Linked DNA regions of Caenorhabditis elegans. The protein of the gene in region 2 purifies or fractionates together with the protein of the main gene of each other region. This does not show direct contact. Each region holds a gene or a part of one and is shown on either strand. Other genes may lie near its edges. The genes, in order: let-418 and lin-1.

The links.
Region 1: the proteins of lin-1 (region 2) and let-418 purify together in Caenorhabditis elegans (affinity purification with western blotting, with the first as the bait; one study listed by BioGRID). This does not show direct contact.

The regions. Positions count from the first base shown.
Region 1 is NC_003283.11:5,825,037-5,832,864, forward strand, and holds let-418 (Protein let-418), read left to right. Parts: upstream 1-1,796; 5' UTR 1,797-1,824; coding exon 1,825-2,154; intron 2,155-2,223; coding exon 2,224-3,216; intron 3,217-3,264; coding exon 3,265-4,343; intron 4,344-4,394; coding exon 4,395-5,724; intron 5,725-5,795; coding exon 5,796-7,141; intron 7,142-7,192; coding exon 7,193-7,464; intron 7,465-7,518; coding exon 7,519-7,658; 3' UTR 7,659-7,795; downstream 7,796-7,828. UniProt on the Caenorhabditis elegans protein: Part of a NuRD (Nucleosome Remodeling and Deacetylase) complex which is implicated in the synMuv B pathway that negatively regulates specification of vulval cell fate.
Region 2 is NC_003282.8:2,297,055-2,302,102, reverse strand, and holds the start of lin-1 (ETS domain-containing protein), read left to right. Parts: upstream 1-1,816; coding exon 1,817-1,840; intron 1,841-1,885; coding exon 1,886-1,973; intron 1,974-5,048.

The DNA.
Region 1 (7,828 bases), on a different chromosome or scaffold from region 2:
CAGAATTAGTCGATTTCTGTAAAAGCCAAATTACCAAATTTGTGGTAAGTTGACAGATATATCATTTTAAAGTTTGGACATTTGAGTACTCTATTATGTCAACACAAAATTCTGAGAATGCGTATTTCACAACATATTTGAAAGTATCTCATAGCGAAAACTACAGTAACACTTTAACTGATTACTGTAGCTCTTATGGCGATTTACGGGCTCTATTTCAAATGCCTTGTGCAATACGCATTCTCAAAATTCTGTGTTCCCGTAATATCACTGTTTTCGAACATTATTTTCCAAATTACACTTTTACAATTTTGTAGAAAATCTAGCAGTTTGAGAAATTTTTTCAGAAGTTAAGATATAATTTCTAGAAGCTTATAATAGGGCGAATCTAAAGCGTTATACTGTTAATTCGAAATATTAAATGTTATTCAATCATTTAAAATTGCCACGTTTTCAGAAGGTCAAGGTAAATTTGTTTATCCTTGATTTAAACATTATGAACATTTTATTTCTTTTAAATTATTTTTAACTCGCATAAACACGTGTTTTGAACTTCTAGATCTTTTTCTTCACTGCCGTGCATCGATTTGAATCATTTTCCGCTTTTGCGCTTTCAAGGGAGGTCCATTTATGCGAATGGGTCTCGCCGCGCTAAGTGCATTGATTTTAAAATGTTGTGTGTGCGTCTTAACGTTTACTGTCCCGTTCTTTTTTTTTTAGCTTTTTCCCTGTTTTCTAAGGTTTTCCTAGTTTCTGAAAAGAATTTGTATATCTTTGTATAAGAATTTGTATATACATGCTGATTCAATTAAAAATTAGTAAAGTTCCGAAGAAGAAACCTATTTTCGGGAGCTATGCAGGTGCGCTCCATTGCCAGCAGATGCGTTTTGTTCAAATGTTTTCTTTTTCATTTTTTTTTGGCTCGCTTTTTGGATTCGCGTTTCCTCTCAATTTCCGCAATTTGATATTTCTAAGTATACAAGTATATTTCTAAAATCGTCATAAATATTTGCTCGTAATTTTCCCAATTTTAATTCAAAATTTTAATTCTATCAGGACGGTTCACAGTTTTTACCTGATTTGAATCCTGAAATAGATCTAATTTACTAGTTTTTTTTTTAATCCGTAATCCAACGTGTTTTTAATTTTCTGTGAACAACATAATTCTCAACTCAAATTAGTAAAGGGACATGCCACGTATTAATAATTTTCGTTGCGGGAAACACGACGCTGCATTTGGTCACTCTTACGCGCGAAGACGGGTCATTCGAATTTCCATCACTCTCCTCTCGTCTCTCTTTCTCTGACCACCGTCCCAACGAGCTGTGTCCCCGTTCTGCAATGTCCCCGCAGTGTCTCGTCAAATGGGACATATGGGGACATGAAATTGTCCCGTTTCGAATCAATATTTGTTTGAAATATGTTTTTGAATACGGCTATTTTTTCTAACTTTTCTTGTAATAATTGCATTTTCTCGATGGTAGATTTTAGAAAACTTGAAACGTAGGTTGTAAAATAAATTTTAAAAAATTTAAAATAGCTTGACGAGCTTAAATTTAAATTCCTACTTTAGGAATTTAATATTTTCAAAATTTTCTACGTTTTTTAGAAAAAATTAAGGCTTAATCTATCAGCCCAAAATTTACACTCAACTCTGTGTGTTATTTCGTCGCCGTGTTTGCAGACTTTTCACACTTTCAAATTTTGCTGATTTGCATTCGAGCTTTCTAATTTGTTCTCTTTATAATGTCCTTCTTGCAATTATTTATGTCTTACTTATATTAATCAATTTTCAGAAATTGTATTTCTCCTGAGAATTCAACAATGTCAACTGAAGAAGATCCGTCTTTAGTGGACGCGGAAGAATCAATGGAAGAGGGTTCTGTCACTCAAGACGCAACTGAAGAAACAGAAGAAGAGGAAGAACAAGAGCAAGGCGATGAGGCTGGACCATCTGAGCGAAAGCGTTCTTCTAGAAAGAAAGGCGGAAAGGGAGGCAAAAAAGGATCCAAAAAGAGTGCTGCCGCAGCTAGCAAGGTTGAGATTCCTGATCCGTATAATTCGACAAGTGAAGAAGTTTGTGCTGCTATCGGATTGACAGACGTCGAATTTGATTATGATGAAGAGGAGTTTCAAGGAATTTCTAATCTGAAGGTGATTATTCAAAATTTATTTTTTAAATCTCGATTTCTGTTTTCCTCCAATTAAACATCTTTTTTACAGACTTTCTCCTCAATCATCAAGCCACAAATACTGGAGGCAAACCCCGGAACCAACGTATCCAAGATGTACCCGATGTTCCAAGTCAAATATAAAGAGTATCAAGATCACATGGCTGCCCAAGGAAAACCTGTTCAAAAACAAGCTAGAGGTTCAAAGACTCCAGCAGTTTCCACACCCGTCATCCCTCCACGATCAGCTCCAACGAAGACTCGTTCTGCAAGGAGAAAGCGTCGAGATTCCGATGCTCCTGATAGTGATCAAGAGTTTGAGGCATTTATTAAGCAACAAGAACAACTGGAGGACGATTTGGTAAAAGACAAGGAAGATGCTCGTATCAAACGTGCAGCGGAAAGAGAAGAGAAGAAAAAAGGAGCATTGGAAGCTGCTCGTGCCGCTAAAAAAGCAAAATTAGAAAAGGGCGAAGAAGCTGAAAATAATGACTACTGTGAGGAGTGCAAGCAAGATGGAGAACTTCTTCTTTGTGACACCTGTCCCCGCGCTTACCATACAGTCTGTATTGATGAAAATATGGAAGAACCACCAGAGGGTGATTGGAGTTGTGCTCATTGTATCGAACATGGCCCAGAAGTAGTTAAAGAAGAACCGGCGAAGCAAAACGATGAATTCTGCAAGATCTGCAAAGAAACTGAGAATCTTCTGCTTTGTGATAGTTGTGTATGCTCATTCCACGCATATTGTATTGATCCTCCACTTACCGAAGTTCCGAAAGAAGAAACATGGTCGTGCCCACGGTGCGAGACGGTTAAGCCGGAACACAAAATCGAAAAAATCCTTTGCTGGAGATGGAAGGAAATCCCGTATCCAGAACCTCTCGAAGCTGGGAAAGAGGCTTCGAGTGACGATGCGATGCTCAAACCACCACGGAAAATGGAACCAAGACGTGAGCGTGAATTCTTCGTGAAATGGAAGTATTTATCATACTGGCAGTGTTCTTGGGTCTCCGAAATGCTGTTGGAAGTTCATTTCCGTATGGTGAGTTTTAAGTGATGAAGTCCATTTGACTAATGTTTATTTTTCCAGCTTATATTGCTATATTGGCGCAAAAATGATTCCGATGCTCCTCCAGAATTTGAAGAATCCGTTACGTCTCGTCATCATTCTGATAATGATCCTTATAAATTGCGCGAGCGGTTCTACCAGTATGGTATCAAACCGGAATGGATGCAAATTCATCGTATTATCAATCATCAATCATATGCAAAGTCGCAGCAGGATTACCTTGTTAAGTGGAAGGAGCTCAGCTATGATCAAGCCACTTGGGAACGAGATGATTCTAATATTGCCAATTACGAAGAAGCAATCATTAAATACTGGCAACATCGTGAGAGCAAATTAAATGAGGATATTCCTAAAAATGTGCAGAAGATGATTGCTAAACATCGCGAAGCTAAAGGTCTTCCTCCAAAAGAAGACGAAAAGAAAAAGAAGAAGCGTGAGAAGATTGACATCCGTAAAAAATATGAAGTTCAGCCCGACTACGTTACGGAAACCGGAGGAAAACTTCATCCATATCAACTGGAAGGACTTAACTGGCTTCGTCATTGTTGGTCCAACGGAACTGATGCGATTCTCGCTGATGAAATGGGTCTTGGGAAGACTGTTCAATCGCTTACTTTCTTATACAGTCTCATGAAGGAAGGCCATTGCAAAGGACCATTTTTGATTGCCGCTCCTCTATCAACTATTATCAATTGGGAGCGTGAGGCTGAACAATGGTGTCCTGATTTCTATGTGGTCACTTATGTTGGTCTTAGAGATGCTCGTGTTGTGCTCCGAGAACATGAGTTTTCTTTCGTTGAAGGTGCCGTTCGATCCGGACCGAAGGCTTCAAAAATGAAGACGACAGAGAATATGAAGTTCCACGTGTTGCTCACTTCTTATGAGACTATCAATATGGATAAAACTATACTTTCTTCCATTGAATGGGGAGCTCTTGTTGTTGATGAGGCTCATCGGTTAAAGAATAATCAGTCGTTGTTCTTCAAAAATCTCAATGAATATACTATTCATTATCGCGTACTTCTCACCGGAACTCCACTTCAAAACAATTTAGAAGAGCTCTTCCATCTCCTCAATTTCTTGTCCAAAGAACGTTTCAAGTAAGTTTCTGAATTTTTGTGTATTTTATTTTATTAATTGCATTTTTTCAGTCAGCTCGAGGCTTTCACTGCCGAATTCAATGAGATTTCCAAAGAGGATCAAATTGAAAAACTTCATAACTTGCTCGGACCTCACATGCTTCGCCGTCTCAAAGCTGATGTGTTGACTGGCATGCCATCGAAATCAGAATTAATTGTTCGAGTTGAACTGAGTGCTATGCAGAAAAAATGGTATAAAAATATTCTGACTCGCAATTTTGATGCATTGAATGTGAAGAATGGAGGAACTCAAATGTCATTGATGAACGTCCTTATGGAATTGAAGAAATGTTGTAATCATCCATATCTTTTTGTGAAGGCAGAGTTGGAGGCTCCGAAAGAGAAAAACGGAATGTATGAAGGAACGGCGCTCATCAAGAATTCCGGAAAGTTTGTTCTTCTTCAAAAAATGTTGAGAAAGCTGAAGGATGGTGGCCACCGAGTGCTTATCTTCTCACAAATGACAAGGATGCTGGACATAATGGAAGATTTATGTGAATATGAAGGATACAGATATGAAAGAATAGATGGAAGTATCATGGGACAAATGAGACAAGATGCTATCGATCGTTACAATGCTCCTGGAGCTCAACAATTTATTTTCTTGCTCTCCACTCGAGCTGGAGGTCTTGGTATCAATCTGGCAACTGCTGATACGGTTATCATATATGATTCTGATTGGAATCCTCACAATGATATTCAAGCTTTCTCTCGTGCACATCGTCTCGGACAGAAGCATAAAGTTATGATTTATCGTTTTGTAACAAAGAAATCTGTCGAAGAAAAAATCACTTCAGTTGCCAAGAAGAAGATGCTTTTGAATCACTTGGTTGTACGTGCAGGATTGGGAGGAAAAGAAGGAAAGACAATGAGCAAGACTGAGCTGGACGATGTGCTTCGATGGGGAACCGAAGAGTTATTCAGTGAGGATCTTGATGCTGCCGAAGGCGAAGGCTCGGAGAAGAAAGGTGCTGCCGCACAAGAAATTGTTTGGGATGATGCAGCTGTAGATGCTCTTCTCGATCGCAGTAACAAAGAAGAGACTCCAGCAGGAGAAGATGGCGAAGAAAAAGCTGAATGGCAAAACGAATATCTAAGCTCGTTCAAGGTGGCCAGCTATCAGACAAAAGAGACTGAAGGACAAGAAGAAGAGGAGGAAGAGGAAACGGAAGTGATTAAAGAAGATGAGAAAGAACCAGATCCAGATTATTGGGAGAAGCTGCTCAAGCATCACTACGAACAGGACAGGGAAATCGAATTGCAAAAGCTTGGAAAGGGAAAACGTGTTCGCAAACAAATCAACTATGCCAGTGAGAATATGGGAACTGATTGGAGCAAGCAGGTTTGTTTTTTTTCTGATTAATTGGGTTTTTCTGATTAATTTCTGATTAAACATTTAATGATTTTTTTCAGAACCAAACCCAAGATGATGACGATGATAACGAGTCGTACCGTGGTTCGGACAATGGCGACGGCCTGAACTCTGATGAAGATGATTACGATGAGAAGAAAAAGCGGCGTCGTGATGAAGAAAAAATGCCTCCACTCATGGCTAAAGTCAATGGACAAGTTGAGATTCTTGGTTTCAATCCACGTCAACGCAAGGCGTTCTACGGGGCTGTTATGCGCTGGGGAATGCCTCCACAAGATTCTCATCAATCTCAATGGCTTGTTCGAGATCTGAGAAACAAATCGGAAAAAGTCTTCCGAGCTTATGCTTCACTGTTCATGCGACATCTCTGTGAGCCTGGAGCTGATGGTCATGATACCTTTAATGATGGAGTTCCAAGAGAAGGTCTTAATCGTCAGCATGTTCTTGGCCGAATCGGATTGCTGAGTTTAGTTCGGCGGAAGGTTCAAGAATTTGAGCAATATAATGGCCAATGGTCTATGCCTGAAATACAAGACGAAGTTCTCGCTAAAGCTGCCAATGGTTCGGCACAAGGATCTTCAAGAAGTACTCCGAAACCAAAAGAAGAGCCGAAGGAAGAACCAATGGAAAAGGAAGATGCTACTGAAACAGTTAACGGAGCTACATCAGAGCCAGCTACAGATGCTGAGAGTGAACAAAACGCTCCTGTTGACGAACCAATGGATACAGATGAAGCCAAAGAACCGAAAGAAGAACCAATTGAAACCGAGAAACCAAGAGCAGCCCGTCCATCATTCAAGTTCAACATTTGTGACGGTGGATTCACTGAACTTCACTCTTTGTGGGCCAATGAAGAGAAAGTTGCAAGAAACGGAAAAGAATATGAAATCTGGTACCGCAGACACGACTATTGGCTTTTAGCTGGTGTTGTTGTACACGGATATGGACGTTTCCAAGCTAATTTCAATGACATCATCAATGATCCCAGATTCTCAGTTCTCAATGAGCCATTCAAGGAAGTTGGCGCTGAGGCAACAGGATCTGACATCAAAGCCAAGTTTATGCAACGTCGTTTCAAACTTATTGAACAGTCCCTTGTGATTGAGGAGCAACTTCGTCGCGCTGCACACGCCAATCGTCACTTGCAGCCGGATAATGTTGGACCATTGGCTCAACGTTTTGCGGATTTAGAGAATATTGCTGAATCTCAAGCTAATATCGCCAAAGAAAGTTCTGCTGGAAATCGTAATGCGAATGCCGTTCTACACAAAACATTGGTTCAGCTCGACGAAATACTTTCCGATATGAAGGCCGACGTGTCTAGACTTCCATCTACTTTTACACAGTTAGCGACTGTCACCGAACGTCTCAACATGACCGAGAGACAGTAAGTTTTAACTCGTAAAAGCTTCAGTCAATATATGTATATATATTTCAGAATTCTTTCGCGACTGACCACAAAAGACGAGGACGCGATAGCCAACCGTAGCGTACTTCCACCACCAGGACCATTTGTAACTCCAATACTTCGCCAGCAGATGGATGGCATTCAACCAAAGTTTGCAGCTCTTTACAGTAAATTCATGTCTGAAAATGGAGAAAGGATGGAAGAGGATGAACCAGTAGAGGCAGAAGAGGAAGAAGGTGTAAAACAAGAACCAGATGATGAGACTCAAGATAGCGCCGAAGCTCCGCCAGTTCTTAGTGCAGGTTAGTACTAATTCATATGGATCTTAAAATAACTCAATGTATTTCTATTTCCAGAAGTGAATTCCGACGATAGCAACGATGTTCCATCTACTTCCGCTGCTGCTGCTGTCAGTTCTGAAACAGCTGCCGACGCCGAACCAGCTTCCGCCGAAGATCAAGCTCCAACAGATGAGCCAGAACCAATGGAAACTTGAATGTCTTTTTAATTTTATTGGGTTTTACTGTATTTTTTCAAACTTTAAACCATTATATTATTTATTGTTCTCTTTTTAGTTGCATCAATTGAAATGCAATTCAAATAATTGCGTCATGAATCTGTGTAAACGTTTAATCCTGATCTTTTCGTCTTAACTTGTTCACATGA
Region 2 (5,048 bases):
ATTTCTTCTATTAATATGGCTGCAATACTATTTTTCGATGGTCTTCCCGCTTGCAATACTAATAGGGAGTGCAAGACTATTAGGGAGTGCAATACTAATTTTCAGAACATTTTTCTGACTTTGAGCTTACTAGTTTTTTTCTGAAAAAGCTCGAATCTTATGTAAAAATTCAGAAAATTTGCTTTTAATTGTAACATATATAATAAGTTCAAAAACTTCAATCTCGTAGAAATGTTGTGAAAAACTGTTGCAAAATAGGCAAATTTTTTTGTTGAAATCCTGAAGTTAACAAGACGGGCCTGCAATAAAAAAGAGTAAACGCAAGGCTATTAGGGAGTGCAAGACTAATAGGGAGTGCCATACTAATTTTCGGAAGGTCTCCGAGGGGCAATACTAATAGGGAGTGCAAGTCTAATAGGGAGGCCATATTAATAGAAGATATACGGTATGTGAAAAACAATTTTTTAGTTGGCAATTTTCTGATAAAACCAATGTCAATCAAGATGTCAACTGATAAAGTTGCATAGGCTGCCAAAGTGGGTTCATTTGAGGTTCAATTGATGCACCATGTCGTTCCTTCTTGGACAGCCTATATCTCTATTTATTTTAATGCTAGTAATTTTAAAATGAGAAAATTATAGAAAAATATTTGAAAAATGTTTTGTTAGTTGTCAATTTCAAATAAAATCAAAAGACAACCAAGATATGAGCTGTCAAAGTTATGCAGTTAAATCCTCCTCACTTTAGAAGCTCTAATTTCAGTTGATTTTAAAAATATCAAAATATAGTAAACTAGAAAACTATAAAAAAATATGTGACAAACATTTTGTCAGTTGACAATTTTCTGATAAAACCAATGACAACCGAAATATAAACTGGTAAAGTTGAAGTTTTTTTTCGATGCACCATGTTCGTTTAATATGATGATTTTCTAATTTTCCAAAATAGTTATATATTGGCAAGTGGAAAAAAATTTGGTTTGTTTTAAATTGATTAATAATGTTAATTGCATAATTGTACAATATTTTGTCAGTTGACAAAAACAACCAAGTTTTCAAAGTTAAGTCTCGAGCAAGTTTCGGTTTCCTACGTTGTTTGGCGGGTTTTCAAAGAGTTTTTTGGGCAATTTCAGACAATTTTGAGCTATTTTGAAGTAAGAAGACATACAAAAACATTGCAGGTATTATAAAATAATTATCAAATAGCTAAAAAAAAATTCTTCATTACACTTAAACAACTTTTGAGCAGACCAACTTTTGTGATTTCCAATATATGATTTTACTTTTAAAAAAAATCTAAGACTAAACCATTTCCCTCAACTTTTAAATTATTCTAACATTAAACCTCTCCTCTTCCGTTTAAAATCGTATTAGCCAAGGGAATTAGGCCTTTGAAACTAAAACTTTTCCCTTGTGTCTTGTGTCACAACGCATTAAAATTTGAAGATATTAATAATTGTCCCACTTTCCACATACTTCATTCTTTTTTTATGAATTGTACAGTAGGCCTTTATGCCTGCCTGGTGCCTAGAGTAGGCATAAGGTAGGCATGAGATCGTAAAGTGACAGCAAGTTTTGCTCATATCTTAAAATTATCGTGTTTTTATAATGTAGATTCAATTCAACAATAAGTGAGCAAAAAGTGTTGTAAATTTCCGCATTTTACAGCCCCCCTCCCGTCCCTTGTTATCTATAGAGTCACTGAAAATAGTAGCCAGCTCGTCACTCATTGCCACGTCATCTTTCATCAGCCGCCGCCACCCCGTACCATTTTCCAGGTCAAAAGAAAGCGCCGACACTCTACAGTTTACACGAAAATGAATCACATTGACCTTTTGAAGGTTTGTCCACTGACTTCATGACTCCTAAATAGTATTCTTTTGCAGGTCAAAAAAGAGCCGCCGTCGAGTTCGGAAGAAGCCGAGGAAGAAGAATCTCCGAAACATACGATTGAGGGAATTTTGGATATAAGAAGTTAGTTTATTTTTTATAGTATTTGGAGCAAAACACACTTGCTACTAAAAGCAAATGTGCTCAATGAAGTTTGGCTCAAAATTGCTGATAGTGATTTTTATTTTGAATGAAAAATTTCACATTTTTCGGCAATTTGCTTATTGTGATTTGAACAGTCGAAATGTGAAATGAAAAATTAGGGGACATGGTGCATTGATTGGGCAACTTTGGCAGTTTATATTTCGGTTAATGTTTAAGATACGAAAAAATATGTAACTACAAAGTTATAGAACAACATATGAAATTTGTTTTGTTAGTTAAAAGTTTTTTGATAGAACCAAAGATAGCCAAGGAAAGTGGTGACAAAGTTATGCACCATGTTTGAACCTCTACACTTTAGGAGCACATATTTCGGTTCATTTTTAAAATATCAACATATAGTAAAATACAAAACTATAGAAAAATATGTGAAAAACAATTTTTTAGTTGACAATTTTCTGATAAAACCAATGTCAATCAAGATATCAACTGATAAAGTTGCATAAGCTGCCAAAGTGGGTTCATTTGAGGTTAATTTGTTGGACAGCCTATATCTCTATTTATTTTAATGCTAGTAATTTTAAAATGAAAAAATTATAGCAAAATATTTGAAAAATGTTTTGTTAGTTGACAATTTCAAATAAAATCAAAAGACAACCAAGATATGAGCTGATGCACCATGTTAAATCCTCCTCACTTTAGAAGCTCTAATTTCAGTTGATTTTAAAAATATCAAAATATAGTAAACTAGAAAACTTTAAAAAAATATGTGACAAACATTTTGTCAGTTGACAATTTTCTGATAAAACCAATGACAACCGAGTCAATGACAATGACAATGACAATGACAACTGGTAAAGTTGAAAGGATGTTCGAACAATATGATACTTTTCTACTATAGTGGCAAGTGGAGCTATTGGCACATTCTCAAAATATTTTACTAACTAGTCTAGTAGAACAAGTTTCAAACCAATTTGTTCTTCCTGCCAGACGGCTGAATAAACCGTAACGACCATGCTCTTCCACCTGTCGGTTGATGCTCAACTACTGATTCCTCTCCCTGCCACTTTTTTCTCTTTTTTTCTGAATTTAGTTTTGGTTTTTGCGGGTAAAATCCGATAAGAATTGATGAATGTGTGTCGCTTTGGGTAGAGCAGCTAATCCGTATTTGGTTTTAATGATGATTTGATGATTTAGTATGGTGTTTCTTTTTTCTCAAGTTTTTGAGTAGAATTTTCAAGAAATTTGTGAGAAAAATGACTTAAATTTTGCCAAAACATAGGGTATTTTTTAAAACTTTGAGCAGAATTTTCAAAAAAAATAACACGATAAAATTCAATTCTAAAATAATTGTCAAGACGAAATTTTCGGTATAAATCCAACTCCCTCTATACATATTTCCGCCTCACAGTACCGCAGGTCCCCCATTTTTGTTTGATTTCTACCGCATTTTCACACCCAATCACTTTTGTATATATATACATACGACATATGGTGTCAATTAATAAGTCGGAGGGGAGGGTGTGTGTTTGATACGTTTATATATTTAGATACTTCTTGTTGAAGAGTCAAGTTAAATCAAACCACATGACAATGTTTAGAGCTTTAAAGGTTCATAACTGGAACTATTGTTTTTATATCCATTTGCAAAACGTTACATTAAACACATGGCTGGAATAAAATACAACCTTTTGTCTTTACTATGCCACAGAGTCTGTAATAGTGTCCTCCAATAATTTAATGCATTTTTACGTGCTTTGCAATTTTTCTGAAAGTATCTTCAAATGGGTGAAAATCACTCATTTTGATATTCTTCTATACCTTTGAATTTTCTTGATATATATGCTTTACTGTTACCCCTAAAACCATCCCAACTAGCATCTGTTCTTCACTATTTACGGGTCTCTTGTCTTCCTTATCTGTTGTTATTGTTGTTGTGCTCTTTCGGAGCAGCTGAAGTTGCGGATTAAAGTCATCTGCGACCAAAATTGACGGATCGGAATATATGGCCGACAAAGAAGAGGTGCTTGAATGGGGTGAAGTGGGGGTCCTAAAAAGATCAGTCATCCGGAATGTTTTTAGGGTAGTATCATATGAAAAACCCCTCTACTCAATTCATATTAAATATTTTGTCAGCCCCTGAAACCTCTTTATCCAACAAGAAAACCGTACTAATGATAGGTTATATCGGAAAGATGTGGAAGGGTGGAACATAAATATTATTGCGTCTTCACGGATTTTTGTGAGATCATCATTTTGGAGATAACCAGGGGGGAAGGTCATCAAAAGGTGCGACTGATAGGCATCTGGTAGTGCATGATTCAGTTTTAGTAGTGTATTTGCTTTTTTTTGAGGACATGAGAAAAATTTAGGAAATTTTTGAACCCACCTTGAGAATTTTGGAATAACTGCTGTAGCCTCTCCTAGGGCTTCCACCAGGGGTGTGCGGCAAATCTCAAAATTTGCCGAGCTCGGTAAATTCGGCAAATCTCTTTTTTCAATATTTGCCGAGCACGGCAAATTCGGCAAATTCGGCAAATTCGGCAAATTCGGCAAATTCGCCGTGCTTAACAAACTCGGAAAAATTTGATATTTTTTTTATGTTTTTTGGAGCACCAAAACTACTGAATTCTTAACACACATCTGGTTTCTGAATAAGTTCCGCGTAGTATGTCTGTTTAAGCATCAAAATAGCTCAATTTTGTATCATTTTACTAAATTTTTGGCTAAAAAATCAATAGTTTTAGTCAAAATTGTACTGTCAAATTTTTGACGTGTGCGGCAAATTCGGCAAATTCGGCAAATCTACTTTTTTGAAATTTGCCGTGCTCGGCAAATTCGGCAAATTCGGCAAATTTGCCGCACACCCCTGGCTTCCACGTAGGCGATAAAACGCCTGCCTGCCTGACTTTAAGGCAACCTCTGCCTGCCTCTCGTGAACTTCTTTCATTCTTATTTTGATTTTTAACAGATTGATAAAAATGATAAAATTTGAAGTTTGAAGTTTCAGGCAGGCATCAGGCCCTGAAACCGTCCCTTAACATTTTTAAAATTTTC